3 linked regions of the Mus musculus genome follow. The main gene of each other region encodes a partner of the protein of the gene in region 2 in a complex. Links are inferred from orthologs where the notes say so. Each region holds a gene or a part of one and is shown on either strand. Other genes may lie near its edges.

The links.
Region 1: Ppfia1 (region 2) and Ppfibp1 share a complex: the UniProt entries of both Homo sapiens proteins name them as parts of the cortical microtubule stabilization complex. The link is inferred for Mus musculus from reciprocal best matches to the Homo sapiens genes PPFIA1 and PPFIBP1.
Region 3: Ppfia1 (region 2) and Erc1 share a complex: the UniProt entries of both Homo sapiens proteins name them as parts of the cortical microtubule stabilization complex. The link is inferred for Mus musculus from reciprocal best matches to the Homo sapiens genes PPFIA1 and ERC1.

The regions. Positions count from the first base shown.
Region 1 is NC_000072.6:146,989,417-146,999,435, reverse strand, and holds part of Ppfibp1 (liprin-beta-1), read right to left. Parts: intron 8,923-10,019; coding exon 8,836-8,922; intron 7,035-8,835; coding exon 6,921-7,034; intron 6,131-6,920; coding exon 5,999-6,130; intron 3,047-5,998; coding exon 2,954-3,046; intron 2,628-2,953; coding exon 2,535-2,627; intron 1,270-2,534; coding exon 1,155-1,269; intron 1-1,154. UniProt on the Homo sapiens protein: May regulate the disassembly of focal adhesions. Did not bind receptor-like tyrosine phosphatases type 2A.
Region 2 is NC_000073.6:144,516,525-144,526,543, reverse strand, and holds part of Ppfia1 (liprin-alpha-1), read left to right. Parts: intron 1-5,482; coding exon 5,483-5,584; intron 5,585-5,754; coding exon 5,755-5,919; intron 5,920-6,493; coding exon 6,494-6,568; intron 6,569-6,897; coding exon 6,898-6,999; intron 7,000-7,176; coding exon 7,177-7,395; intron 7,396-8,797; coding exon 8,798-8,944; intron 8,945-10,019. UniProt on the Homo sapiens protein: May regulate the disassembly of focal adhesions. May localize receptor-like tyrosine phosphatases type 2A at specific sites on the plasma membrane, possibly regulating their interaction with the extracellular environment and their association with substrates.
Region 3 is NC_000072.6:119,821,209-119,831,227, forward strand, and holds part of Erc1 (ELKS/Rab6-interacting/CAST family member 1), read right to left. Parts: intron 4,612-10,019; 5' UTR 4,473-4,611; intron 4,002-4,472; 5' UTR 3,847-4,001; coding exon 3,178-3,846; intron 1-3,177. UniProt on the Homo sapiens protein: Regulatory subunit of the IKK complex. Probably recruits IkappaBalpha/NFKBIA to the complex. May be involved in the organization of the cytomatrix at the nerve terminals active zone (CAZ) which regulates neurotransmitter release.

The DNA of each region.
Region 1 (10,019 bases), on a different chromosome or scaffold from region 2:
AGTTTCGTCCTTCTGAACCTCGCTGCTTCTTTGTGGACATTAGGCCTCAGGGTCAACCAACCATGATGTGGACTGGCTAATGTCACTCTGGTGGGTTTTCCCAAATGTTAGTTTGATACCTGGTCCTCCTGAGTACCAGGTATCAAACTAACATTTCAAGATTTTTTTCTTTTTTTAAGTTGAGTCATGGTCTCCCTGTGTCACCCAGGCTGGTGTCCAACCTATATTATTTCTGCTTCCATTTCCACGTGCTATTCACTTATGCACTCAGGTCCAATACCACTGAAACAGTGTGTCCCCTGTTCAAGGAGACAGGTCCACTGCTGACACAAGTCAGTATCAGGGTCAGACTGCCATGAGGTGTCTAAACCTCGTACTCAGACTGTGGACTCAGCTGGTCCCACGGTGACAATGAGCAGTTCATACTGGCTCTAGTCCCTGACTCTGTGTGGGCAGCACCCCAAAGACATGTCTAGTCACATGTACTCACGCAGTCCATTCTGTTCTTAAACTCTGAAAGTGAGATGGCATTATGGATTCCCTGGTACAGTGTGTGAGCAACAGATTCAACCCTAAAGCTGTGGTCTATTTCTGAACATCCTGTAATGTTATTTTACTCATGTCTAGACCCAGGGAGGAAAATCTACTTCTGTAACGCTGAGTTTTCTGATGGATAAAGAAATATGTGCAGAATGCAACTTGTTTCTATACATTACATGGCATGAGACAAAACTACACCAACTAGAATCTATCTGTCCAAATGAGTCAGAAACTGCTAGCTACATACAGACATACATACATACATACACACACACACACACGCACGCACGCACGCACACACACACACACACACACACACACACACACACACACACACACACACACACACATTCTAGGACTGCCAGACATTATACATATTATATTTCAAGATTTTTTTTTTAAATTGAGTCATGGTCTCCCTGTGTCACCCAGGCTGGTATCAACCTATATTCCTTCTGCTTCCATTTCCACGTGCTAGAGCTGCAGAGGTCAGATCCAAATGTCATTGGAGTTTAAAATGTCATTGGAGTTGTTGTTCTACTGTCCAACAGCAGATCCTCTCCTGCAGTTTACAGGATCACAATGAAACCATCGAGTACCACAGTCAGCCTTACCTCGATCGAGGACTTCGATCCCTTCTCCTTTCGCCTTACAAACCAGTCTCTCCTGCAGCCTCTTTACTTCACATTCCTTCTCCTCCAGTTGCTCTTTTAAAGATGCCAATTCGTCCTACAAATTATAAATTCATTTTAAAACAGTAGACTATGGCAGAAAAGGAATACGCATAAAGCGGTATTAGCCCTTTAAAAATCAATACTCAGACTATAGGAATGAGACAAAAACCCACAAAAACTTACACGCAAACACAAATTAGACAGAGGCAAGGATAAACACCATTAATATAAATAATTTGTAATAATTGCAGTGTAAATGTTTCAAGTTTGTGGGTAAATGTAAGAAGTTGAAGTATAACCAAGACCGAGTACTCTCTAAAGTTCTGCCTGCGCTAAATCAAAGTCTCACCAAGTTAGTTGAAGATGACCAAATTAGATACTTGTCTTAAAAGCAAAATAAAAAGCAAATTCAAAGAGGCTGGATTGGTTCCCTCAGCATTTCAAGGTGACACTCATGGTTCTGGGATCGTCCCTGGGCATCAGTAGCCACAGGGAGGCAATTCAGGGGTGACTGACCAAATCATGAAGTAGATAATTTACTCTTATCACTGAATAAGGCAGGCTCCTATGGCAATGGAAAGTGAGGATTTGAGTGTTCCTTTTGAAATGACGAAATCTGCAAGAGCGTCTGAGGCCCTGATGTATTTGTTAACATTTTAAAACTCAGCCTGGCTTTAGAAAATACTAGTTTAGCAAATTTATATTTTTCAGGCTGTATCTGTCACAGAAATTAGTTATGCAATGGCAACAGGCATCTTTTATTCAGTGTGGCATTTATTCTCAGTCTTCATTCAGCTATCTATACATTCAGTGTTATGAAAAACCCACCCAGGAGGCCAGGTTGGCCCTGTACTCCTGACTCATAGTAAAGATAGACAGGATGGAGCCAAGTCCAGAAATTTTCAGTATCCCTGAAAGAGGTGCTGCCCCCTCTCCCTGCAGGGCTTCTGAGCAGTGGCTTCTCTTCCCTGTCGTGATAAGGAACGCACACACACTGGCCTTCCGGGGACCCCTCACAGGAGAGCAGGCTCCAGTTCATACGAGACGGAATTCTTCCACAGGTGAACTTTGAACAACTATCTTATGATACTTAGGGGTCAGACAGTCTAAGCAGTAAGCTGATAAGCTGACATTTTTATGCTCTGCCCGTTTACTATTTACATTAGCACTCTTGTTGTCCCTTTAATCTGGGTGTATGCACTCTTAACAGACAGGTGACACACATACACGCAATGGATGCACATGCTACTGAAAACACTATCACAGCAGAACGACACACGCCACAAGGCGGCAGCCCGCTCCCGCCAACGTCTACTACACCTTCAGGGTCTCCCATTTTTGCTCCATCCGCTGCTTTTCATACTGCATCTGACCCACCTTGATTTTCATGCTAGAGAGTTTGGCCATTAGAGACTGGTAGAGAGACAGAGGAATGAGAGAAAACGAGGCAGAAAAGATAAGCTAAATAACTAAGAAAACAGCATCAGTTCATAAAGAAGGTCAGCTAACCCAGATGCCACAGGCTGTGTCCTGGCAGATTAGTGAAGCCTTGGGTTTACTGAGAACTCTAGCGTGTCAACTAAGCACCTCCAGCTTGGGAGAAACACGGTTTAGTTGTGAGATATGTGTGTTGCCGTGTACCAGTTGGAAAACACTTTCTTTTAAATAATATTTCTCATAGAACAATAGACCATGTTTAAAAAAAAAAAAAAACATCATTTTTCCCCAGAGAAACTTACTTTAGTTGACTTGAGCTTCTTTTCATACTGAAGTCTTTCACCGTCCATTTCATTGACTTTTAGCCTCAAATCATTGATCTCTTGAATTAGCCCCTGTAATAATAATAATAATAGTAATAATAATAATTAGAAAAGGGTATGGCACAGTCACCAAAAGAGTAGCCAGAAAGCCCTAAGCCAGCACAGCTCCTTGGATACGAGTTTGAGAACCAGTCCTAATAAAGGGAGATCCAGTGAAATTTACCCCTAACTGCCAAAGCACACTTCCACTAAAATACTAACTTAACCTTCTAGTGCTTCTGCCCTAAGTGCTTATGAAAACAAAAACGTAGCTATGACTTTGACTAGAGAAATGCTATTGTGAGAACTGTGGGCCAGGACCCCAGTGTGGGGCTGGAAGGTTTGTGGAGCCTTGAAGCAGCAGTGTCTGCAGGGAGATTCTTGACCATTAGGAGCATGCCCTCGAAAGGGATTTGGGGACCCCAGCCCCTTGCCGTCTTTTCTGCTTCCTGCCTGCACGTCATGATAATGTGCTGCTTCAACGCCATCTCAAAGCAATGAGGCCCACTATTCATGGACTATGCTCTCCAAAACCGTTGGCTAAAATAAAACTGTCTCTTTATAAGCTGTCTTGGGTATCTGTTATAGTGATGAGTCCTTGTTTTCTTCCTGTTGCTGTGATCAAACGATCTGACACAATCTGACCAAAAGCAGACTGTGTGTGTGTGTGTGTGTGTGTGTGTATGTGTGTGTGTGTGTGTTTGTGTGTGTGGTGAGGGGAGGCGGGGAGGAATTATACTTCCAGGTCACTGTCCATTACTGAGGGAAGCCAGGGCAGGAAACCAAGTCTGAGACCTGGGAGCAGGAACCAGGAACCAGATGAGTGCTGCTTGCTGGCTCCTTCACTGCCTCACTGACCTGGCTCATGTCCACCTAGCTTTTCTATATCGTGCAGAAGATGGAGGCCCCACCATAAGCTGGACCTGCCTACAGCAGTTAAGAAAGTCAAGGCAATTCCTCACACCATGTCCACCTGACAACCTGACAAAGACCAACCTGACAAAGATGAATTACTCAATTGGGACTGTTGACAGGTGGTTCTAGGCTGTGACAAATTGATGTTCCATGCTCACTGTAACATCACAGAAACACAACTAATGCAGAAGGCTGTCTAACACCAACAAAGCCACTTAGCATCTGCTTCTATATTAAAACTAACTATGGACCCCACCTTTTCATATAAACTAGAGTATTTTCTCTTCCATTAACCTTAAAATTCTTTTCTGTGATGCATTATAGTTATTTAAAGATTTCTATAATTTTTGCCTAGTCTATAAAAATATAAACTTAAGTTTCTTTAAGCCAACAATCTCAACATGAAGGTAGATGAGGGTCTAATTAATATATATATATATATATATATATATATATATAGTATATTCATATATCTAATACAATAACATAATTTTATACATGTAAAATTTTAAAAGCCTAAATGATTTTATAACAGAATATAATTGTATACCATTTCTACTGCCATTTTAAAAATGTACTTGTGAAAGTTGTTTAAATAATTTGAATTCAAGTTTAAAAAGAATTGGTTTCTCTTGCTAGCTTATCTTGCCTGCATAGAAGCCAGGAGTGGCCTTCCTTCCTTTGATCTTTCAGGCTTTGCTATTGTTAACAGGCAGCTTTGAACCCCCGGCAGGGACTGCTATAAACATTACCCCTTCCTTTAGTGCTGACTGCAAAGATGAAGGAAGAATTATAGAAAACCAAATTACATAGTGGGGCCATTTTCCTATTTTTTTTTAAAGACAAACTATCCAATTGTTTTTGGTGGCAATGGATTAAATATGAATCTGAAGTTCCAACCTGTGAGAAGCTTGATATGCCCAAGACAAGTCGGGCTGGAAAATATGGAACTACCTCTTTAATGCAAAAAGAGAAAAGGAAAGAAAATCTTTTTAAAAACCAATGTAATCTAAACTACTACACTTATCAGCTCAGGCGCTACTCAGAGCTCTGCATTTTAGCCATCTGTGCCTACACCAGAAGGGGGCGCAAATCTTCAAGGTTTAAAGATTTTAACGCACTAGGTTTTGGAAACACCTATAAATGTTCCCCACTTACTTCAACATTTTCCTGGAAACCAACATCCAAACTCTCAAAATTATGGCAGTGTTAAGCGATTCAGGATTGCAGAATAGCTAGCTAAAAGTTTTATTTTTAAGGGGACATTAAGCCAGAACATGTACATATTCTATTCTGTTTCAACGTCTGAATGCTATTTTGATTATTTTAAATATAAATGTAAAATTACCAAATATACTGTAATGTATCCTGTGAATATGTGTACACCCTTATATCAGCAGTGTAAACTATTTCATAGGATATGATCAAGGATTGTGTTTTCTAGAGGTTCTCAGGGTCCCTGGATGAGAACACAGGAGAAGACAGAAGTAGGGAGAAACAAGGCGTGACAAACACCTGCTGCAAAACCTCACAACCAGCCTCATAACCAGATTAAACTAAGCACAGTGCACCAGGTAAGTAAGACTCCGCCTCCTACAGTGTGGACAGCCTCCTCAACTCCCTTCCTATCCGCCATCCAGCCTCCTAGTTCCCATCCCTACAGCCTCCTCCCACCACCACTGAAACAATCCTCCTGCAGCCCCAGCTACTACGAAGGTTCAACAGCAACTGTTCTATTAGGGATGAGAGGGTAAGGAAAAGGGAAAAGTCTAAACAGACTCTTACAGGAAAATAAAGCCAGATGGTGGTGGCAAAAGCCTTTATCCCAGCACTCGGGAGGCAGAGGCAGGTGGATTTCTGAGTTCGAGGCCAGCCTAGTCTACAATGTGAGTTCCAGGACAGCCAGGCTACACAGGGAAACCATGTCTCAAACATCAAAGGGGGTTAAAAGCCTTAATCAGTCTGATGAAGAGACTGAGCAGTGCTCTTGCCCTAAGGAGCACAGTGAGGGCTGAGGAGGGAGGGAAGAGACAGAACGAGCATGCGAGCATGCGAGCATGCGCTACTTACCTCTGTGTCTCTGAACCGATCTTCATAATCCAGCCTGTCCTTCTCTACGGCCGTCAGTTTTAACTTCAAGTTAGAGATCTCAGCCATCAGCTCCAGCTTCTGTGTCTCTAAGGAGGTCCTACTCAGAAGCTCCTGTTAGGATTCCAGATGTTCACAAGTTTTACATTACACATTTCTGTCGTGACGGCAGAGCGGCAACGGTTAAGTGTAGCCTGTGGGTGAAGTACTGCCACACACCACACGGCTGAGGATCACTTAATCTAGTGACCTCTTCTGAACAGAACTACAACGTGTCATCAGGGTGTCGGGGAGACGCATCTGGCAGACTCCTGAGCCCAACGACAGCACTGATGGTGCTGTGCATGGTGCCTGCTATATCAGGAACTGGGAGACATGCTCATGAGTTCAGTCCCTGCAAAAGTCTCCTGAGGAAGAAGAGCTTATCAGCCTCATTTATCAGGGTTTCTAGAAACATGGAAGCCTAGATCACGAGGACAGGGAGGTCCGGAGCCTGTCAAGGCAGGCAATAGCACAGACTGATGTTCAACAGCAGCAACTCTGCATCCAAATACAGTCTCTGCGGCATCACAGGCTTTTCATCCACAAGCCCCATGTACGCACTGGGACGCATATATATATATGAGGTTTTGCCTTAACAAGCCACATATGGTGATTTTTCATCTCACGGTTGAGAGTTAGAAATAATATGAGCGCAAAAGATCAACTTATAATTCCTGTAATATTGTGTTCTCTCATAACTGCACAGTGTTGTGTGTCTCTGTGGTTTTAGACTCTGCTACTCTAGACTTCAAACAAAACAGTCTAGGGATTCTGGAATTTACTGCTGCTGAGACAAGACAGGAATGTTGCACCTCAGATAACACAATCCAGCATCCCCTCCCCCACCAGCTTTGGCCCATACCTGCTGCAGCATTTCTTCAGTGGCATTCAGCTTCTCTCTGTGCTCTTCAAGACAGAACTCCAAATCCCGAATCTTCTCTCCCTGAGCCTCCACCTGGTCTGTCAACACACTTACCTATTAAATCAAAGCAAGAGGCTATGAGTTTGAAAGGCTCTGGGCCCCAAAGCATGGCTCATTCTCTAACTGGAATGAGGACTAAGATCCATCACTCACGGTGGTTTAAAACATCACAAACTTAACAAGAGGACAGTGGTCCTACCCTTTGCTATTTATATTTCGCTTTGTGTGGATCAAGCCCAAGACTTGTGCATGCTAGGATAGGCAGGCTCTCTACCACCGGGCAGCCTCTGCAGCCCTATGCTGCCTTATGATCCAAGGATTCCTATTCAATTTAGGAGAAACATGGTGCTGATGAGAGATTTGCAGTTTCTTTACGCATTAAAACCATTTCAGTTGTCATTAGGAAAATCTGATGTTGAAGGCGATGGTAAGAGACTACTAGTCGGGAGCCACAGAGGAAGTGAGGAAACAGGCACAAAGGACCACGCAGATTTCACGGATCAATAATAAAAAGGAGCAAAGGTGAATAAAGACCTCAAATTCTACAAGCTCTTCCAAGATGAACATGGTCACAAGTGCGTTCAAAGCAAGGGCAAAGGAAGAGTGCTGTGGTGCACTTAGCATGAGTTCAGGTCCCAACACCAAAGAGGAAAAGGAAAAAGCCAGGGTACTGCACCACATGCCCAGGAAACAAACAGTGAAGCCCATCCCTCATCCCCAGGGTTCCATGCAGATCTACAAGTCTTCCCCCTGGGATACCAGCTGAATAAATACTCTTTGATCCACATCGTTCGAAACATAAAGATAAAGGCATTTTCTCTGTACTTAGGAACACCATGAGGAAGCAAGCAAAAGCAAGTACCGCATAGTACTCCCCAACAGCAGGCTCCACTCGGCTACTCTGTACGGTTTGTGTGTCATTTTAAAAGATGGAAAGTTAATATATATTCAGACAAGAGATTTTTATACTACGGGAATTCACAGATCTGGATTTCCAGTTGAAATGTATATAAAATCAGATCTGACAGCAGGGGACATACAAAATCATCTCAAGTGGCAAAATCATCTCAAGTCTGACCTGCTCCTGAGAACTGGGTGACAAAGCTGGCCACAGCCAGCCCTGCGCACTCCAGGTACAGAGAGCTGACCTAGCACCCCCTTCTTGTTTGTAAGATAGGACCTGAGAGGGCTGGTGAGATGGCTCAGTGGGTAAGAGCACCCGACTGCTCTTCCGAAGGTCTGGAGTTCAAATCCCAGCAACCACATGGTGGCTCCCAACCATCTGTAACGAGATCTGACTCCCTCTTCTGGAGTGTCTGAAGACAGCTACAGTGTACTTACATATAATTAATAAATAAATAAATCTTTAAAAAAAAAAAAGATAGGATCTGGGGTTATATCCCAGGTTGGTCTCAAATTCATGGCAAATCTCCTGCCCCAGCCTTCTAAGTCCTGGGATTACAGTCACTGACACCACAGCTGCCTTCTTCTGCACTGGCTGTTTCCTTCAGTGGCTGGCTGGGCTGCTGTACAAATTGTTTCATTTTCAGTAGTCTGTGAAAGTACAGTCTTCCCTTGGCATCTGTCTGTGGCTGGTTCGAGAATCCCTGCAGATATCAGTGTGCATGCTCAAGTCCCTTCATGGAACAGCAGTATGTTCACATACAGCTCACACATCTTCCTTATACTCTCAGCCACAGGTTTTCCAGTACAATGTAAATGCACATAAGCAGTTGTTATATTGCTTAGATGACATGTTTACTACAGGTGCTTAATACAGGTGTTGCACATATATGTGATTCAAAGTTGCAAGGACACATGTCCTGAGAAAGGAATGGCCTCAAGTACCACTTGCCTGAAGAACGAGGGATTCCTTGTCGTTTTCTAGACGTGCCAACCTTTCTTGATACACATCTCCATTCCCAGGTAGATGTCCATTTGTCTGAATGAGAAAGTAACATAAGTAAGGTCAACTCTCTCTTAGGATTGATATGTTATCAATCAGTAAAACTGATATTTTAAACTCAAGGGGCCTGGATTAAATTTAGCACAGCAGGCATGGATGGAAAATGTAAGAATTAACTGACTTCAAAATAAGCATTACAGGCACCTAAACACAACTCACTAGACTTACCCCATTTCTGAGTAAACAGAAAACAAGTACCCTGTCTTGGTTCTAAATGTACCACTGTGGTGACTACTGACCAAAAACAACTTGAGAGGGAAAGGGTTTATTTTACCTTATAGTCCACCATGAAGGGAAGTCAGAGCAAGAACTGAAGCAGAGGCCTTAGAGGAGCACTGCTTACTGGCTTGCTCCTCATGGCCCTGCTAAGCCACCTTCTTATACAACCCAAGACTGCCTGCCCAGAAATGCTCCCATCCCAGTGGGCTGGACCTTCCACATAATCATTAATTAAGAATACATCCCATAGGCTTGTGTACACGTTAATATGATGATGGGGACCTTTTCTTCCCAAATTACTCTGTATTGTGTCAAGATCACAGAAAGCTAACCAGCACAGACTCTAAAAAGCAGCAGCTGCTGGAATGTTCCAGTAGCCATAGACATAGCCCTAGGGAAAACGAAGTTCTGGGTACCTAGTAGAGGACAGTACTCTATTTGTCCCTGAATGATCCCTGTCACTAATTTGGGGTGTGGAACAGTGATTATGACCTGTGATGCCCTCCTGTTCCTACCACTCCATCCCCAGGTTCCACACCAGGCTGCCAATGCCTGTTTATGGAGCAGACACATGGACAGCGTCTGCCAGGCTTCTTCCCGTCCACTTAGCTCTACAAGTCACAAGATGAAATCGTAAGATAAAGGCTCCTGCCTGGAAAGCCTTCAGAAGCCTTTCTGTCTCCCCACCAGAGCTTAAACACTCAATCCAGAGTGATTTTTCCTGGTGGTACTGACAAGCTAGGCCTGCTTGCTAGCTTTGCAATTATTTTCCATCTTGGCTTCACTAACTTCTTACATTTTTATTGGTTTATACAATGCTAAGATCAGCTCCTAGGCAAAACCTGGCCATCAGC
Region 2 (10,019 bases):
AGCAGCTGCTCTGGAGTAAGTAGACTTGTGAATCTGAGGCAGAGGACCAGTAGGAGGTCATGTTCAGAAGGGGGGGCAACAACAGTATGAGGAATGTGGGCTTTCCTGTGGCCAGTGTGCTGACCATGGAGCAGGGATTACTGCTGGAGCCACCACTCCTCTGTACTTGGAGGGCTCATGCTACCTGGCAGTGAGTAGTGAGGGACCTGTGTACATGCTTATTAACTTTATGTTCAATGGCATTGAGGTGTCTGACAGAAGCCATCTAGGAAAGGCTAGGACAAGCAAGTGAGTTCCTGGAGATGGCCCACAGTTTTGCGTGGCCATAATGGGTGCACTCTGGAGAGGCACAGCCCCGGATACTTGGTCCCAGGATTGCTTCTTGCTGCTGATAATGATTTCTGGGGGCTTTCTTGTAAATCAATATGAAGATGAATTTTCATGAATTAATGCTGTTTAGATGACTTAATGACTTTATAGAATTAAAATAATTTTAGGAAGAAAGTTTAAGGACATAGTTGTAGTTTTGCCAGAAAGATATAATAAAGTTAGAATCAAGAATAGAATGTGCCCCCTCCTATACAATAGTAAGTAAAGGCTGCATAATAAAAAATACAATGAGCTTTCATAAATTACACTAAGAAGAGAAACAGGCTTGGGGCAGATTTGTGATCAAGGAAAAACATTCATTCTAGATTACATCCAAAAATGAAGCCACAGGGTTGCACTATGATAAACCGAGGCCACGTGAAACTGTTGCTTTGAACTTATACTGCGCTTATAGAATGAAACACTGCTTTGAACTTATTATCGACATCCTTCTGTTACTTTTCTTTGGTGTAGCATTTATCTATGAGCTAATTTTATAAGAACTTTTTTTTTAATCTAAAAAGGTATAAAAAGGCTAAGAGGAAAAATAAAGTTTTGGCTGTTGAGGCTCTGCCCCATCTCCCAAATGTATATGTGTCTGTCTATATATATGCACTCTCAGAGTTTCAAGCCAGACGATGCTGGTGCACACCTTTAATCCCAGCACTTGGGAGGCAGATACAGGCGGATTTCTGAGTTTGAGGCCAGCCTGGTCTACAGAGTGAGTTCCAGGACAGCCAGGACTACACAGAGAAACCCTGTCTCGAAAAAAACCAAAAAAAAAAGAAAAAAGAGTTCAGAGTTTTTCACAGGGCACTAGTTAGGTTTTGTTTTATCAGTAGTGCTGACCCAGTAAATGACCCACTGTTGTTAGTGGGGGTGGTGAATCAACTGCCATCAACACGACCCCAATCATAACCTCATACCCTGCTAGTTTTCTGTTACCCAGATGCCAGAATAGGCTTTTGTCAGGTGTTATTGCTTCTTACCAGTACAAAGGAGCTTTGGTGTTGACCTTATGCCACAGGGCCTTTGTGAAAGAATCTAAGTAAAAGAGTCTCAGGTTTTTGTTTGTTTCAGAAAAACAGAAGACAGATTTGAAAGAAGGAAGAAGGGGGACCCAGGGAACTAGGCAGCTCTGTAGTGGAACAAGCAGACGTGGTGGCGTGATAGGGGATATGGGAAGTAGATGGCTCTAGAAGAGATGCGTGGGAGATGCAGTCAGTCATAGGAGTCCCCAGTGTGGCAGGTGATATAGTGAGTGGAAGGAGGTGACATGCTGTCTGTGCATCAGGACTGTGTGGCTGGGTCCTGGTGTTCACTGGCTTAGGAGCTGGAGGCAGGGCAGGAAAAAGTGATCATTCCAGTGTGAGAGTATATGGAGCCTTACGAGATATCCAAATAGAGACAGGCACAGATATGCAGAGTTTCTCACTGGCACTAGTTAAGATAGAGACAGGCATAGGGCAGGAGATAGGACAGGCAGGTACGCCCCAGGGTCACCTATATTCTAAAGTGGCAAAGCAGGAAATGAGGTGCATGGATGGCTTTTGGCAGCCCTTGTTCTCTTGCAGGCCAGATCAGGAGGGGATGGAAGCTAGCTCCTACCCTCAGTGGACGCTGTGTTGGCCTGAACTCTTCTGGGGAGGAAGTGGGGTTAGCCAGGCTGCACAGATGGTGAGGACAGGAGTGGGGCTTGCAGGCCAGGGAGGAGTGTGGGTCATCCCAGAGCAAGTTAGTCCCAAGTGGCCAGTCCCTACTGCCATGTAACTGAGCTTCCACCTTGCTCACAAAGGGACAATTTTCATTTTTCTTTTCTTTTCTTTTCTTTTCTTTTCTTTTCTTTTCTTTTCTTTTCTTTTTTTTTCTTTTCTTTCCTTTCCTTTCCTTTCCTTTCCTTTCCTTTCCTTTTCTTTTTTTTTATAGAAGATTTTACTTTATAATTATTCATGTATGTGTATATACATACACACGAATGTGTATATATGCATGTATGTCTGGTGGCACACGTGTGGAAGTCAGAGGACAACTTTCAGGAGTCAGTTCTATCCTTCCACAGACTGTTGGGCTTGTGCAGCAAGTGCCTTTACCCACGAGCCATCTTGCTGGCCCCCTTTTTCCTAGTTTTAATGCTCAACAATCTATCCTTATGGAGAGATATAAATGGTCACTTTTAGCGCCTTCACTGGCTACAGTGGATCAAAGCAATAACAGTTCAAATGTATTTTTCTGTAGTTGATCTGTGTAAAGAAGAGATGTCCATTTGCTTTTAACAAAGCCAGCCTTCCTGTAAGACATCCTAACCTGGCACATCAGGTCTCTGCAGGGCTAGGTGCTTCTCCCACCAAGGCCAGACAAAACAGCCAAGGTAGGGGAATAGATTCCACAGACAGGCAGCAACTTTAGGGATAGCTCCCGCTCCAGTTGTTTGGGACCCACATGGAGATCAAGCTGCACATGTGCTACATATGTGCGGGGGTTGTTTATATCTCTTGAGAAAGTTCCTCTCCATAGCCCAGGCTGGTCTCAAGATGGTGATCCTCCCTGCTTTTGCCTCCCAAGGGCTGGGATCACAGTAGTGCAGTGCTGTGCCTAATGTTTGTGTTTTAACCTGCTACTAATAGATAAGGTTTAGCTACTGACAAGCAGTTGCTTCTGCGGTCATGAGCTCTGGGTGGGTCTCAAGAGGTTGGGAATCATGGGCAATATTGTCCCTTCAGCCCTTTTCTCCCATAGTTTGTTAGTGTGGACAGTGGGCAGAGAGGTGAGTGCTGGTGTGAAAAGGTACTGCCCCACCCACATTGCTCCCTTCATTTTAGATCTAAGGTAGGGAGCTGCTGTGACTGCAAGTGGCCTTAGTTGTGTGAGTTGGCTTTTGTGCTGGCTTTTACTGTTCCTCTTCCTTTCTTCCTTTCTTTCTCTCTCTCTCTCTCTCTCTCTCTCTCTCTCTCTCTCTCTCTCTTTCTGTCCTAAAATGACAAGAAATAGACTTTTTAAAATTTTTTTTATTTTTTGCTTTTGGTGAAGTTCCCCCTACCCCGCAGTTTGGGGTTTTGTTTTGATTTTTAATTTCATGATTCAGATGAGGACGCTCATATTTCCCACAGTGTTTCGGCTACTGTGTCTGGCTTATTTCAGCAGCACAGTATCCTCAGGTGGTCCCTGACTTGGTATATGGGACTACCTATCCGGAATAATTATTGGATGTTTTTAGTGCAACAACAAAATAAAATTTAAACACTAAAAGGTGCCATTGATGGTGCTGACAGAGTATGAGGTACGGAACATCACATAAGTGTGGAAGGGGTCAAGCCAAGCATGGTGGACCACATTTGTGAACTATTTTTAGGGGTTAATATTAGTTTCTTAATGAACCCTGATAATGTCAAATGGAAATGCAGATTTATTTTGCTCAGATTTATTTGGGAGGGGTTAATCATTATGTGTATGAGTGTTTTCCCTACAGGTACGTATGTAATCTGTGTATGTCCTGATGCCCAGGAAGGTCAGAAGAAGGCATCAGATAGAATTATGGATGGTTATCAGCTGCCAAATAATTGCTGAGTGTTCTCTCATGTTCCCAGAGTTAGATTTTAAATGAATAACCAGAACTCTCAGTGATTATGATGTGTGTTAAATATGGCAATATCAGTTAATAGCCTGGGCTTGCAGAATTGCTCGGTGTGTCACCTTGAGTGGTGACTACACAGTCTCAACCTGCACATACATAGCCTTGGTGCCTGCTGTTCTTTTTCATCCACTATAAACTGGGTCTGGAGAGTTAGCTCAGCAGTTAAGAGTACTTGCTGTGCTTATTAGAGGACCCAAGTTCACTAACTAGCACCCATAAGACAACTGACAACTTGTTTGTAACTCCTGTTCCAGGGAATCTAATGGCCACTACTGGCTCTCAGCTGTGTCCTCTCTCTCACTCAAGCTGCTCCCTAGAGAGAGCTCTTCCAACTGTTGGCTGTCTTCACCTACAGCCTTGGAGCATAGGCAACGTTGCTGGGCCAGCATGATGAAGCTGGAGTGGGTGACTGGTAGTCAGTTGGCTGAGTGGCAGCAGTTTTTTGTGGGTGGGAGTTGAACACATGGCCTGTTTTTTGTTTGTTTTAAATTTTTATTTTGTTTTAAAGCAGGGAAGCCCTGTTTCCTGAAGCTTGCTCTGTAGACTAGACTGCTCTTGAACTCAGGATCCACCTGCCTGGATCAAAGACCTGTGCTTGCGTTTTAAAAGTAAAATTGCCTACCACTTTTTATACTTTGAATGTCTGATTGGCTTTGTATCAGGTGGACCACTAGCCTTCCTTTCAAAAGTTCAGAGAAACAGCAGGTAGATTATTTCTGAGCAGTTATTTCCAAGGGTTTGGGTTCATTGAGAAACCAGTAAATACATGGCTTATACTCAGCTTGTTCCTGGTGTCCTGAACACTTAGTAGACAGTGTGAGAAGTACCCTGGGGCAGCACTGTGGAATGGTCAGCTCCCAGAGCTCTCCTTATCTCTTCAAAAGGTTTTGGTCTTGTGAAAAATCAATTTTTAAGGTTTGCCTTTGGGCATACTTTCTGCCTAGAAGACTAACCCTGAAATGTCCCAGAGAGAAGAGGTTAGACCAGGCCAGGCTGTAGGGTTGTTTTGTTTTGTTTTGTTTTGAGACAGGGTTTCTCTGTGTAGTCCTGGCTGTCCTGGAACTCACTCTGTAGACCATGCTTCCCTCGAACTCACAGACATCCACTTGTTTCTGCCTCCTGAGTGCCTGCACCAGGCACCTTGTAGGTTTTTCCTTTGCTGTCTCCAGGGGTGCTAAATGTTCAAGTTGCTAACAGTGTCTTTACCTACTCTATTCCTGATCTTCTGAAGTTGCTGAAGATGTAGCCTTGGATGGCACCATGCCTACTGGCCATGCCTGGGACATAGGAGAGGGACGGTTGCAGGGCTGGATGAAAGGTCTGGGTTACTAGGGAAGCCTGAAGACACCTTCCAAGTCCCCTTTTCTTTGGAGAATCAGAGACACTTTACAATGTATTCTAATGGAGGCTCTTGGAGTCTTTTCTCAGATTTCTGTTTGCACATGAATTCATTCAATCATTCTTGTGCTTGTCACTCTCTAGGAGTTTGCTGCGCTCACGAAGGAACTCAATGTGTGCAGGGAGCAGCTTCTAGAGAGAGAGGAAGAAATCGCCGAGCTGAAGGCAGAGAGGAACAACACTAGGGTCAGTCACTTGTGCCTTTCCCACTTTTCAAGGGGTCATCAACCCATTTTTAATTCAGCCTAGGGGGCTTCTTTGCTCGTGCTGTGTTGACTTTATATTCCCTTGCTGTGGGTGGATATAGTGCTTACCTATGAAGCGAGCACTTTACCGCCTGCTGGGCTCTGTTGCAGCTGCTGTTGGAGCACCTAGAGTGCCTTGTCTCCAGGCATGAGCGCTCTCTCCGGATGACAGTGGTAAAGAGGCAGGCACAGTCACCTGCAGGCGTGTCCAGTGAGGTGGAAGTGCTGAAAGCCCTGAAGTCACTGTTTGAACACCACAAAGCCTTGGATGAGAAGGTACAATCACCATACCGACACCTGTATGCCCTGTCAGGGGGCTGCATGGCACTGTGATCATGCTTGTAACTTCTGGAGCTCCTATGTAAAGCTTTTCTCAGTTAGAGGGTACTGGCCTATGGGCTGGCTGATAAGCATCTTTGACTCGAATGTTTTAACATTTTTATATCAATGTGCTAATAAGAATTTGGGTCTAGTGTGATTCCTAAAGCCTATAACCCTAGCCCCTGAGAGGCAAGGAAGCTTGCTGAGAGGTTGAAGCTTGCTTGGCCACATAGATTAGTAGTAGGCCAGCCTGGACTATGTGGCAAGTTTATATCTCAACTTTTTCCTCCCCTCCTGAAAAAGAAAATAATTAGTGGTCTGACTTATTTAGGAACAAGATTTTGTCAAATTAAAAACATACACACCTGTAATCCCTGCACTTAGGAGACTGGGGCAGCAGGGTTCCCAGGTTCCAGTCAGCCTGGTTCAAAAGTGGCGGTATAGTACCAGTCTGCTGTATTCTGCTAATGCTGTGTTGCCTTGGGCATACAGTAGGAATCCAAGTGCACACTCAGCCCTTCACTTGCAGGTACGAGAGCGACTACGAGTGGCTCTGGAGAGGTGCAGCTTGTTAGAAGAGGAGCTGGGTGCCACCCACAAAGAGGTAAGCTTGGGTTCTGTCGTGGGATTGGAACTAAAGGGATTGATACTTGTTACTTAACTTTACAAGTATAAGACAGTAATAGACACTGCAAGTTACTTATTTTCCTAGGTGTAGATCAACCTGCTGGGGTCACTGGATTCTGTCTCAGCCCTCAGCCTCTCCCAAGTACCTCTCTCTCTCTGCAGATGACAAATGGTTTCTAGAGCTCTGCTCAGAGCCTTTGACTGCACAGCTGTTAGAGCCACTTGTCTCCCAAAGCCACTGGCCACCTTTGCTCATTTCTCTTACGTAAAGATCTCACGCTAGTGAGTTCAATTTTTCTTTTGTAGCTAATGATTCTTAAAGAACAGAATAATCAGAAGAAAACACTAACAGATGGACTGCTTGACGGAAACCATGAACAGGAAAGTGCACCAAGCACCAACGGCAAGGCAAGTCCTTGGCTTTTTTTCCTGTGTGGTCTCTGGTTTTGTTTTGCCATGTAGGGCTGTTGGGGAATAGTGGCAACTAAGGTGTGTGTCCACTGAGGAACACACAGGTTCCTCCCTCTGAAGGTCTGTGCTTCCCGGGTGGTGTGCCCAATGGTGCCATAGGGCTGTGCTTTTCAGAGATCTTCTGATGGCTCCTTGAGTCATGAGGATCTTGCCAAAGTGCTGGAGCTGCAGGAAGTCATAGACAGGCAGGCGAGAGAGCAGAGCCAGATGAAGGAGCGCCTGGCCTCCCTGTCCAGTCATGCAGCAGAACTAGAAGAGGATCTGGACACAGCTAGAAAAGACCTCATCAAGTCTGAAGAGATGAATACGAAACTGCAGCGAGAAGTCCGTGAAGTGAGTGCGGGGTGCGCCTGGCTTCCTGCTCCCTCTATCTTTTGCTCTCATAGTCTGGAACCTTTGGCATACACACCAGACACCCTCTCTCCTGCACCCTTCACATGAGGATCATATGCTACCATGGCTGCAGTAGTGCACTCTTTCTTGTGTTCGGTTTCTTCTCACTTGCTCCCAGAGCCCACAGACATGATGTCAGTTGTGCTTTTGTAGGGGCAAGAAGAGGTAGACCAGCTGTCCTCTGTCATTTGTATGGTATGGTGCTGAGTACTGAGGTGGTTCACTCTGCCCATCAGGGTCTCTATGGAAATGTTTGTTTATATATACACCTCATAACCAGTTTTCCTTGGTAAATTACAAGACCCTCTTTGGTCACTAGAAAAGAAATGAGAGCTGCATGCTTTCTTGTAAACTCTTTCTGTTCCATCTGAACCTGTCTTTTGTTACCCCAGGAGACCCCACCTAATAGCATGTGAGACCAGGGAGCGTTAGTTTTGGAGATTAATGTGATTTATTGTAAGAATTCAGGTCAAAGGAAACACTGCATGAATTAGAGAATCAACTAGGTTGTGCTGTTCTTGGGCCACAGGGAATTATTTCTGTGGTAGAGAGTTGAGATGTTCTTTTAAGACTTGCCTCTTTAAGAAATATAGTAAGGGGATTAGAGGGATGGCTTAGTGGTTAAAAGCAATGGCTGCTCATCCAGATGACTTGGGTCTAATTCCCAGCACCCACATAGCAGTTCACAACTATCTGTAATTTAACTACAGTTCCAGGGGATCTGACACCCTTACACAGACATACATACAGGCAAAACATTATTTCAATGCACATACAATAAAATTTATTTATAGATAGCCAACAGTTAGGAAATAAGGAAGAAGCTAAAAACTGAATTGGGGAATAGAAGACAGATACCAACTATGCCAAAAGTCAAGTCCTGGGCTCAGTGTTTGGGGTTTATAGTTTTGGCCTTGCTGATTTCTGTCTCTTTGTCAACATGCTTGAGGTTTGTGAGTCTGTCCAGCTCTTACTGAGAAAATGAAGCAGTTCTGCCCACAGTGCTCTATAAGCCTGGTTGTTGCTTAGGCAGACACAGGTTACACCTTCACTGCAGATGCCTTCAGATTCATGGATGCTTGAAGTGTTGTATGGGGCGTTTTATTAGTATTGTGTAGTCAAGTACATGCTTGGTGACACGAGCAGATTAACCAGACAAAGCTGTTGATCATGTGGGCGAATATGCTTCAAGTGTGTCCATTTTCACTCTGGTTGTAAAAGCAGTTTACACTGGGGGAGCAGCAGTTTCATGCTTGAGATGTGTGGTGTCTCTCTGTTTCCTGAGTGTTCTGATGAGTTCTGCGTTTATCATCTCCGTCTCCCTCTGGAATCTCCAACACAGGCAATGGCCCAGAAGGAGGATATGGAAGAGAGAATCACCACCCTTGAGAAACGCTACCTCGCCGCACAGCGTGAAGCCACGTCTGTGCATGACCTCAATGACAAACTTGAAAATGAAATTGCAAATAAAGACTCCATGCACCGACAGGTACTGGGGTCTGTGGGCCCCTTTCTAGTTTTAATTATTTGTGAAGCCGAAGACCTTTCCTTTGTAAATTGTATGTTGGAAATCAAGTACTTAAGTCATTTTTCTTATGACTTACTTCTTAGCAGTTTATAGAACCTTGATTCTTCTGTTCCTTTTTTTTTTTTTTTTTTTTTTTTGTTATGAGCATTAATGTGTGCCTGTGCCTGTATGTGTTGGTGTATGCTTGCACATTTGCACCTGTATGTGTAGGTGTGTGCATGTGGCAGTCAGAGGTCAAAGTCAGGGGTCTTTTCTCTATTGCTTTCCGCCCTATTTTATTTTATTTTATTTTCAGTTGTACTTTTAAGATTTTTTTTAAATATATTTTTAAGATTTAAAAAAATTTTTTTTATTTTTAATCTTGTATATTTTATATGGGTACATCTTTGTGTGAGTGCAGGTGCCTTTGGAATTCAGAAGAATGTATGGTATCCCCCGGAGCTGGAGTTACATACAGGTGGTTGTAAACCAGTGAATGTGGATGCTTGAAATCAAATTTGAGTCCTCTGGAAGAGCAGCAAATGCTCTTAGCCACAGAACTCTTTTTCTAGCCTCTCCACTGTAATGTTTAAAGACGGGGTCTCTTACTGAATGTTGAGCTCACACGTTGTCTACACTGGCAGGGCAGTGAGTGCCAAGGTTCCTGCTGGGTCTGCCTCCACAGTGCTCGGGCTAAAAGCATGTGCTGCTGCACCAAGCCCTGTTAAAAAAATGTCAGTACTAGGGACTGAACACGGGTTCTCATGCTTGCACAACAGGCACTCTGCTCGCAGAACTGTCTCCCCTTTGTTCTGTTTCATTGGAAGCCAGTTGCTTCTTTCAGTCTTTTCACTAACTAAGCAGTAAGAACTTGCTGGCAGTTGCTGAACTGTGCACCCAACAGCACTAGAAGTCAGAGGTGATAGGAGCCAGCCATCACCCTCTTCCTTGTGTGCTCTCAGGTTATTGAACTAACCAAAAAAACCTAGTCAGGCTGCTTGAAAGGATTTATTAAGGGCAAAGGGCATTGCTTGACCAAAAATAAATGAAAATTGTT
Region 3 (10,019 bases), on a different chromosome or scaffold from region 2:
TTATAGCTGTGTGTTCATGTAGAAGCTAAATCTTGATGTCAGATGACTTCCAGATTCATTCTTCATCTCTGTTTACACCTAGGACTTGAGGATGCCACAAGACTAGCTGGCCAGCAGCTGCAGGGATGGGTCCTCCTGTCTCCTTGTGGGCTAGAATCACAGGTGCATATCACCATGCCCAGCTGTTACATAGGGATCAAACTCAGGTCCTCACTTGCATTTTAACAACTGAGCCATCTCCTCAGCCATAAAATAATTATCCTTAAAATAAGCATACAACTAAATCCAACACAGAGAATTCTTACAACACATAATCAAAAAAAAAAAAAAAAAGTACAAAGGACTGGAGTGACAGCTCAGCAGTTAAGCACATGGCTGCTCTCCTCTTCTAGAGGTCCTTAGTTCAATTCCCAACAACAATGTCATAGCTTACAACTATGTCTAATGGGAGCTGATGCCCTCTTCTGATATGCAGGCTTACATGCAGAAAAGCACTCATATACATAAACAAACAAATCTTTTTTTTAAGTACAATAGCTGATGAAAATAAAATCTAAAATGTAACTTCTCCAAAAGTTTCACTAGCTCTGCAACAATACAAAGCCCATAGGAAGATTTTCATTCTTCTCTAAAAAGCTAACACTAAAGTCTTTCTAGTCACAACTTTTTTTAGAAGAAAAGGATTTCTCTGCTCAAATATATATATTTATATTCACACATACATAAATAGACACACACACACAACTCTTAATCAACAACTATTTGAAAGTAAAGTAACAAAAGGAGTCTAAGACATAGAAACACCTGAGAAATTTTATCTTAGACACAAGCTTCTAAGAGAGCCATAATAATGAGTCATGCCCACCAAGCAATCAGCAATCCTAAGCAAATATGTTCTATACTGATAGGATTCTGGACCCAGCTCAATCAGATCAAACATTTAAAATGGACCAAAATCCCCAGGCTCAAACAGAAATACAGAAATGTATTTAATTGCTATAAATTCTAATAAACCAGTCTTCTTCACAAATGAAAGATGTCTGACCTCTGGGAGCTAAGAAGAGGATAATGAATGCACTATTTAATTAGGGGCCCACTGCTAGCTGACTATAATCTATTAATTAGCATTCTCAGTGTCTGTATCTCACTGTACTGTCTTTAAAATTGCACCCTTTGTTTTTTGGACTAAAGTTACACAATTTTAGAATTCTGTGGTAATTACAGTGGGTGCAAGAAGAATGTATCTGCCAGCACTGGCGTTTAATTAGGGCATGGGGTGGACCCAGATAAAGCAGTATTCACCATCTTCAGCACATAATGGTTTCCTTGGCAAGAAAAACCTGTGGACTGTTCCTTTCCCAGAAAATACTAAGTGCCCATAATTGTCTTCTCAGAAAATTAAATATTTTGCCTTTGAATATACCCTGGTAACTAGAAAAGGGATACTGAAATGATTTCTCTCCTGATCCCCATACACCCTTAAAGTATACACATTAAGAAATGCTTTATTTATTTCAAAGTCAAAAAATATGCCAATAACTTTTTTCCTCAATAAACATTTCCAGGTCACTTGACAATAAAACTACCTTATTGGTGGCTATGTTTTCAGCAAGACACGTTGATGATTAGGTAATTCAATAGTGTATTTGGTAAAACCAGATCTGCTTTTAATTTATGTACTGAGTAATCAAGTCAGACTGAGAGACAATGAATCTACTCTTGAAAGGACCAGTTTGAGCTGGTGGTCAGGCAAGCTAACATAAATCTAAGCACTTGGGGATGGAAGCAGAAGCGTTCCAGACCAGCCCACACCACACAGTGAAGCAAGAGAGAAGTGCTGAATTGACTTTAAATTGTTTTTAAAAATATGAACCTTTTACTTACTTTGGTATGCCAATGAATACTTTTTATTGAGGTGACTTAGAAAAATATGGGAGAGGGGAGCCAAACACAGTGACCCACTCCTTTAATCCCAGCACTCAGGAGGCAGGGGCAGGAAGATCTCTGTGAGTTCTAGGCCAGCCTGGTCTACAGAGTGAGTTCCAGGACAGCCCGGTGTTACTCAGAGAACTGTGTCTCAAAAACCAAAACAAGCAAGCAAACCAACAAAATATCCTGCTCTTATGGGACTAGAGAGATGGCTCAGCTCAGCAGTTAAGAACACTAGTTGTTCTTCCAGAGGACCCAGGTTCAAATCCCAGCACCCACACAGCAGCTCACAATTGTCTGTAACTCCAGTTCCAGAGGATCTGACACCCTCAAACCGACATACACAGAGACAAAACCTAACACCAATATAAATAAAATAAAGGCTATGACTGAGGGGCTACTTACAGAGGCAGAGGTGACTCAAATGCAACTGTATCATTAAGAAGCCCTTTGATTTTTTGTTTTTGTTGTTTTTCAAGAGATGATTTCTCTGTGTACCCCTGGTTGCCTTAGCACTCTCTCTAGACCAGGCTGGCCTTAGGCTCACAGAGATCTGCCTGCCTCTGTCTCCTGAGTGCTAGGATTAAAGGAGTGTGCCACCACCACCACCACTATCTCCCGGCCAAAAGGCCATTCCAATACAGGTGATGACAATCTGAAGGCAAGACAGGTCCAAGAATCTCCTGCTACAGGCTAGGAAAATGCTCTTTCATTGAACTGTATCTGCAGTCCTGTGTTTGATTGTTTCTAATTTTGAGACAAAGCTTCAATATGTAACCTCAGGTTAGCCCTGAATTCACTATGTAGCCAAAGCAGTCCTCAAGCTCTTTTTCTTTTTTTTCTTTTTGAGACAGGGTTTCTCTATGTAGCCTTGGCTGTCCTGAAACTTGTTCTGTAGACCAGGCTGTCCTCCAAGTCATAAAGATCCACCTGCCCCTGCCTCCTGAGTGCTGGAATCAAAGGTGGGCACCACCACTGTCCAGCTCAAGTTGGGTTTTTGTTGTTGTCGTCACTGCTTTGTGATTTTTTTTTTTTTAATTTATATGTGTGAGTGTTTTGCACCATGTACAGGAACAAGTCTTAAAAAGGCTAAGAAAGTAGAAACAGAGTTCTAAAGTAAAAAGGATAAATAAAAAAAATAAAAGAACAAAGATGGGGGAAATCTAAGACGGGATGGAAAAGGAATGCCTCTTTTTGTTTATATACATGGACTCAGCCCATAAAGATAAATGTATAAATGAAACTAACCTGGTTTTCCTCCTGTACAACTCGGTACTGCTCCTTCCAAATGGTGATTTTGGAAGCTTCATCTTTTCTCAAGGCCCGCTCTTTCTTTAACTCTGGGCTCCAGAAGGTCTTGATACTATTCATTGATGAACTTAATTTGCTCTCCTTTACTTCCACATCTTTCCTCAAAAGATCGTTTTCTCTTAATACTTCCTTCAGCTGTGTCTGCAGATCCATGATGGTGTTATCTCTTGCCTGACGAAGAGAGTGAGGTACAGTAGATGCCATACTAACAGGAGGGAGGTGATGTTCTCCAAATGCTATGGTATCACTAGCAACCCCACTGCTTGCTATGTTGGGGCTACTGCCCATAGCAGTCATCCTAACACCGTAAGGCAAGCGTCCCCCAGAACGGCCAAGTGTCATGGTGCTTTTAGGTGTTTCTGCACCCACGTTTTCATGGTCACTTAGGTACATAGGGCCAGATGTAGCATAGGCAGCATTTAAGGACTGTATATTCTCCATTGAAAGGGTTTTCCCACTGCCACCTCCAACACTGTTTCCAGAACTCCCTCCTGTACTATTTGTTCGCCGATGACCTAAGCGAGGGGACCGAGGAAGCCGAGGTGATCGCCCAGGACTCTGGCTGCTTGGTTCCACCTTCCCTACTGATCGAGCACTTCCATACATGGTTGCAGGGTGAACTTAGGTGCCAGAAATGGTATGAAGAAAAAAACAACAATGTGATTCTGTGAGGTTTCTCTATGGCTATAAAGTCAGCTTACAGCTAACAGAAGTAGCAGGCCAGCAGCTGTCCAATCTTGAAGAAATATCTTATGCCATATCTGCAATGAAAAGATCATACATTAAATATTCCAATGATAAATACTTTTCTCAGAGGTGTTCTGTTACCTTTATCTGGGGAAGAGTCACTTTTCATTAAGTATTCTCATGGCTTTAAAATTAGATTACTCATAATGTACTGTTTTTCTAATTAAAAATTAGAGTATCAACTGATAATTACCAAGTGAAACATTTGAATAACAGAACTCAGAACATTACATAAGATCAGTGCAGAAATATCAATACTTGAATACATTATCAGAATCAATAAAAAAAACTTAATGCATTAGTCAGAGAGAAGCTCAATATATAAATATTAATACTTTGACACATCATTAGAACTAATAACAGCTAAATTTCCATAAGATCAATATTTAAATATCAATACTTTCATGCACATTGGGAATAACAATTAGAAAATGTAGCTCTTAAGGTTAAGGTTAGGGAGATGGATCAGTGTGTAAAGTACTTGCCATGCAAGGATGAGAACACTTGGTCACTTCCCCAGAAATGAGGTAGAACTGAAGGCGATAGCATGCATCTGAAATCCCAGTGCTCCTATGGTGAGATGGGAGGCGGAGAAGGGAAAATTCCCAGAAGCTCATGGGCCAGCTAAAGAACAAAAGACTCCATTTCAACCAAGGTGAAGGCCAGGATCAACACCTGAGGCTGACCCCTGCCAACAGTCAAACACATATCATACAGAGAGAGAAGAGTGAGGGGGAGGAGAAGAAATGTAGCTCTGGGTTCGAGCCCCAACACTACATTAATGGATGTTGCAGCACATACATGGCAATAATTGCAGCAGAAGAGGTAAAGGCCATCTTCATCTACAGCTGAGTTTCACATACACAAGACCCTGATCAAAAAATAAGTTAAGTCCTGCTAACAACAACAAACCTATAAAAGGTACCTAAAACCTAACAAAAATGTTCAAGCATTTAAATCTCTACTAAAATACATAAAATCATACCTCAATAATGAAAAAAAAAGTTAAAAGTTACCCATACTGTGAAGGTATCAGCTCTTCTCCCAGTTCATTCACAAAATCCCAGTAGATTTTCATGTAATTTAAAAATGCTGATTCTAAAATTCAAATGGAGGACTAGAAGTACAATAGCCAGCTCCAGAGGAATCAGACACCACTGAACCTCTGCGCACCCGCATTCATGTGCACATAACCCATAACACATAATTAGAATAATAAAAATAAATCTTAAAAAAAAAATAGAACATGCTCTTAGCCACTGAGCCATCTCTCCAGCCCTTCCCCTTTTTTAAAACTAATTTGGCAGGGAAACCTCTCCTTGATATCAGGTTACCGAGTGCTTTTATGTGTAACACTGAGCATACGTATCAAGTATTTCATCAATAAAATAATGTACATCAACACCGGATACTGTACAATACCCAATAATGTTCTAAGTAAAATTCTGGGAAACAAAGTCCCATCAGATCATCATATTCTCATAAAGAACTACAGACTTTATTATAAAAGCAGACATGAGACATGTTTATAATCCTAGCTACAGGGAGTCTGAGGCAGATAAGGCCAGCTTGAGCTACGTCTCAAAATATAAGATGAAATAAAATAAACAAAACAAATAAACCAGACAGACAGGGTTGTATCTGCTTGTAACCCCAAGCATTGGGGAAGATGAAGCAAGAGGTTATCAAGTTCAAGGCCAATGTGAGCTTTTACAAATTCCAAACCAAGCTGATGTGTCGCCAGCAAAACTGTCTCAAAAAGAAAGAACTGGAAAAAAGTACAGAGTGCTGGCTCCGCTCTTGGCTGCCCACCAGAACTTAAACTTAATGGTAAGATTTGATTTCTGAGGACACTACACACATTGGTCACAGAACATAAATAGTTGGTAAAGACCAGGAAGCGTCCTCTCCGACACCTACTTCTATAGCTATGCAGGCTACTGGAGAGAAAATGAAAGTCACCAACAATATTCCCAAGCTGAGAACAGCAAAAAAGGGGCTGGCATCGATGTTATGGAAGTAACCACTTTCTGGTTGGATTTAAGGACTGTTCCACGGGAAGAAGAACATGCCTGGTATTGCAAATCTAGCCAATTAACCCATGGTTGGAAAGTTCATAGGCCCCAGGAGTGAACTGACTGATTATTTTGCTAAACAGACATAATACCACACTGCCCTCCAAATTTTATCTCTGCATCTGTAGAGTGCTGCCACTCTTTAGTTTCTTTGTGCGCTGAATGATGGTTAACACAGAAACTCACTACTGGTGAGAGAAGTGCAGAGAATTAGTGGCTGTGGAGTACTCAGCCTAAATGGGACAGACATACTGTATATCCTGGCCTCCCCAAGGCTCAGGGATCATCACGGAAAAGTATTCAGAGACATTGTAAGAACCAAAGGTCAGGGAAAACCCAGAGCAAAGACTGTCTTCTCATGAGAGGACCACTACACTAAGGAACTCACAGCAGCTGTGTTTGCCTGCACAAGATCAAGCCAGTCCACAGTCTAGCACTGAGTGAAGGGGGTTAAAAGCCTACACACTCCTTTAACTGAAGAGCTACGAACAGCTGACAGCTTCTGGGGTAGGGAGAGTCAGTTTTCTTTCTGAGTATGGTTCCCTTTAGTTAACCACGTTTCAGTGGGTGGTTCAACATCCAGAAGAATATGAACAGCACAAACTAACCAATGGGTAACTGAACAAAAAAAGACATAAAGTTGGAAGGATACCAGGGTAGGGATGGACTGGCTCTCAAAACTCCATAACTGGAATTTCTTATACAAAAAGGCTTTGCATATAGACTACACATATCCACCATTATACTCTAAGCCTTTTTTAGACCACTAATAATACCTACCTCAGAGTAAGCTATATATAAATAATTGTGATGCTTAAAGTAAGTCATCTGGGCAGTGGTGGCATGCCTTTAACTGCAGCACTAGGGAGGCAGAGGCAGGCAGATCTCTGAGTTTGAGGCCAGTCTGGTCTACAAAGCAAGTTCCTGGACAGCCAGGGCTACAGAGAAACCCTGTCTTGAAAAACAAACAAACAAACAAACAGAAAGTGATTAAGCAAGAACAGTTTGCACATGTTCAATACATATCATATACATGGAAAAAATGTGACCTTTTTGGGTGAAAGGTTAAAGAGGAACAGCAAAGGGTGTCAAACTCTTTTGCTAAGCTGTTTCATAACACTTCAAATTCCACTTTGCATATTTATTATCTAATCTCAATGAGTTCTCAAAATAGAACAACAAAATTGAAGTCAAGCCTGGCCACCTTCATACCACCACAAAGCTTCTAGACCATAAAAAACACAAAATGTCAACACTGGCCACACACCGCAGATACACTTAATCAAAATCCTGGGGTGTACCCAAATGTCTACATGTACATCTGTACACAGAGATTGCACGGACCCTTTAATTCTCACTCTTCTTACAAAAGCTGTAAGCATACCATGGAACTAAATAAAATGCTTTAAGAGTAACATAGTAACTTACCTTAATTATAACAGAATAGGCTCACATAAATGTGCTATGAGACATTTATAAGAAGATGCAAAAGATGTAATTACTACCATTAGCTATTTAAAGCACTGCTAGTAAAATTCTGGCCTAAATCTCAAAATCACTAGACTAACCTTCTGTACTAGTTATACTCATCTGTAATAATCACTTATTATCTGAAAATGAGTTAAGTATCTTAAATTTTAAATTATATTCCAAATTTTTTGTAAGACTGTTTTCTTGAAAAGCTATGAAATTTCTAGGGTCACAAATATTCATTTTAAGCTCTCTGAAAAATGATTTAAAAATCATACTGAAGTACAATTTAGCAGAATCACAATTTGAAATGAGCTACCACTTGAAAAAGAAGTTTCCTCTTCTAATTTTTTTTATATATAGTAGTGGAGACTGAACCCAGGGCTTTGCACAAGGTAAGAAAGGGTTACCACTGAGCTACACTTCCAACTCAGAAGATTTTTTTTTTCGCTTGTGTTCTGAGACAGGATCTCTGTACTCTGTCATGCAGCTGAGGACGACCTTAAAGTCCTGATGCTCCTCTCCCACTTTCCGCGTGCTGGGAGCACAAGCATGCAGAATCAAACCCAAGATTTACAAGTTTCACTTTTTAAACCATTCTGCATGTTTCATAGGTTCTAAGGTCAATGTACAATGATGTTCATTACTGCATCATTTGTACCAGCAAGAATGTAAATTTTCAGCAAGAGATTGGTTTAAGTAAATTATGTTATCTGCAAACTCTAAATATACTTATCTTTACCTGACATACAAAGTGTGGATAACCATAGTCTATTGCTGTAAAACAGAAAAGTAAGTTGTGAAAGAATGCATATAATACAATCAGTATTACACAACATGCATATATTCATATACACACAGGAATGACTCCAACCCTCAGATCACAAGTAGCCAAGGCTAGCTAAGATAAAAGTGTCATGAAAAACTGTAACTTACTTAAAACATTAAGAGAACTTTTTGTGATTTTTGCATGTATGTAATGTCTGCATTATACAGATGCATATTGGGTATGAATGTATTTGTTAGAAGCCATAGGCTAATGTAAGTTATCTTCCTTGGTTACTCTCTACTTTACATGTTTTGTGCACTGTGTACTCAGATGCTGATTTCTCTGCCCAGATATCTGGGTGCAGTTCAGATGATAGCATGATCAAGCATCTCCAGTCTCTATGTTACATAAAAATTGTTTTTCATCACCTCTGATTGTTTAATAGCTCTACAGCTGATCACCCCATTAGCTGGGCAGAAGAGATAGGCAGAACTTCTGATCTCAGTCAAGGGGTCCCAAAGGAACGGGGGCTGGGGGTACGGGGAGGTGGAGAAGGACCAGGAGGAGAAGCAAGTGTGGAGAAACCCTGTGAAGAAACCAGGAGGATTCACCATGAGATCACGAGGAGAAAGCTGCCATGGAGACAGACACACAGGGACCAGAGCAAACTGGGGCAAGACCAGATGGCAAGGAAATTTGGCTGGGTAGTAGCAGCCTAGTCAGGTTAGAATAGATCAGAATCTGTCCCGCTATTAGTGCTTGCAGCTTGTTAATAAAAAATACCTGGTCTCTATATCTTTATTCAGGAGCTAACAGGCATAGAAACGCCCTGTAATTAATCAGGTACAAGACAGGGCAAAGAACTCCACCTCCCCCCAAGAATTACATTTACACTGAGATACTGAGGCAGGATCTCTCACTTGAACGCAGAGCTCACTGGTTAGGCTAATCTAGGTAAGCAGCCTGTCTACAGATCGTCTGCCTCTGTCTCCAGAGTTCTGGGATTATAGACAGGTGGATACTAAGAATCCAAATCTAATTCTCATATTTACATAACAAGCACTCACACCTCCAAAGCCATTTTGCTAGTCCCTTCTGAAAGTTTTGTAATTTGACACTGTAGTTTTTAAATGTAAACTTTAAAGGTGATGTTGCATAGCTATATGAAAAGTGTAACAAAAACCTAGGCCAGTGAAGTCACCTCATCAAGTAAAAGTGCTTTCCACCAAACCCAACATTTGAGTTCAATCCCAGGAATATAGGGGAAGGAGAAAAATGACCCCTACAAGCTGTCTCTAATGGCTACACACAAAATTTAAATATAAATGTATTATTAGAAAAAGAGCATCAAGGGCTGGAGAGATGGCTCAGCAGTTAAGAGCACTGACTGCTCTTCCAAAGGTCCTGAGTTCAAATCCCAGCAACCACATGGTGGCTCAAAACCTTCTGTAATGAGATCTGACACCCTCCTCTACTGTGTCTGAAGACGGCTACAGTGTACTTAGATATAATAATAAATAAATCTTTGGGCCTGAGCAAGTGGGGCCAGAAGGAGCAGAGGTCCTGAATTCAATTCCCAGCAACCACATGATGGCTCACAACCATCTGTACAGCTACAGTGTACTCATCTACATAAAATAAATTAATAAATCTTTAAAAAAAAAATAGAAATTTACATACTAAAGAAAGCATTCATTGTTACACCTTCCTCATGTAAC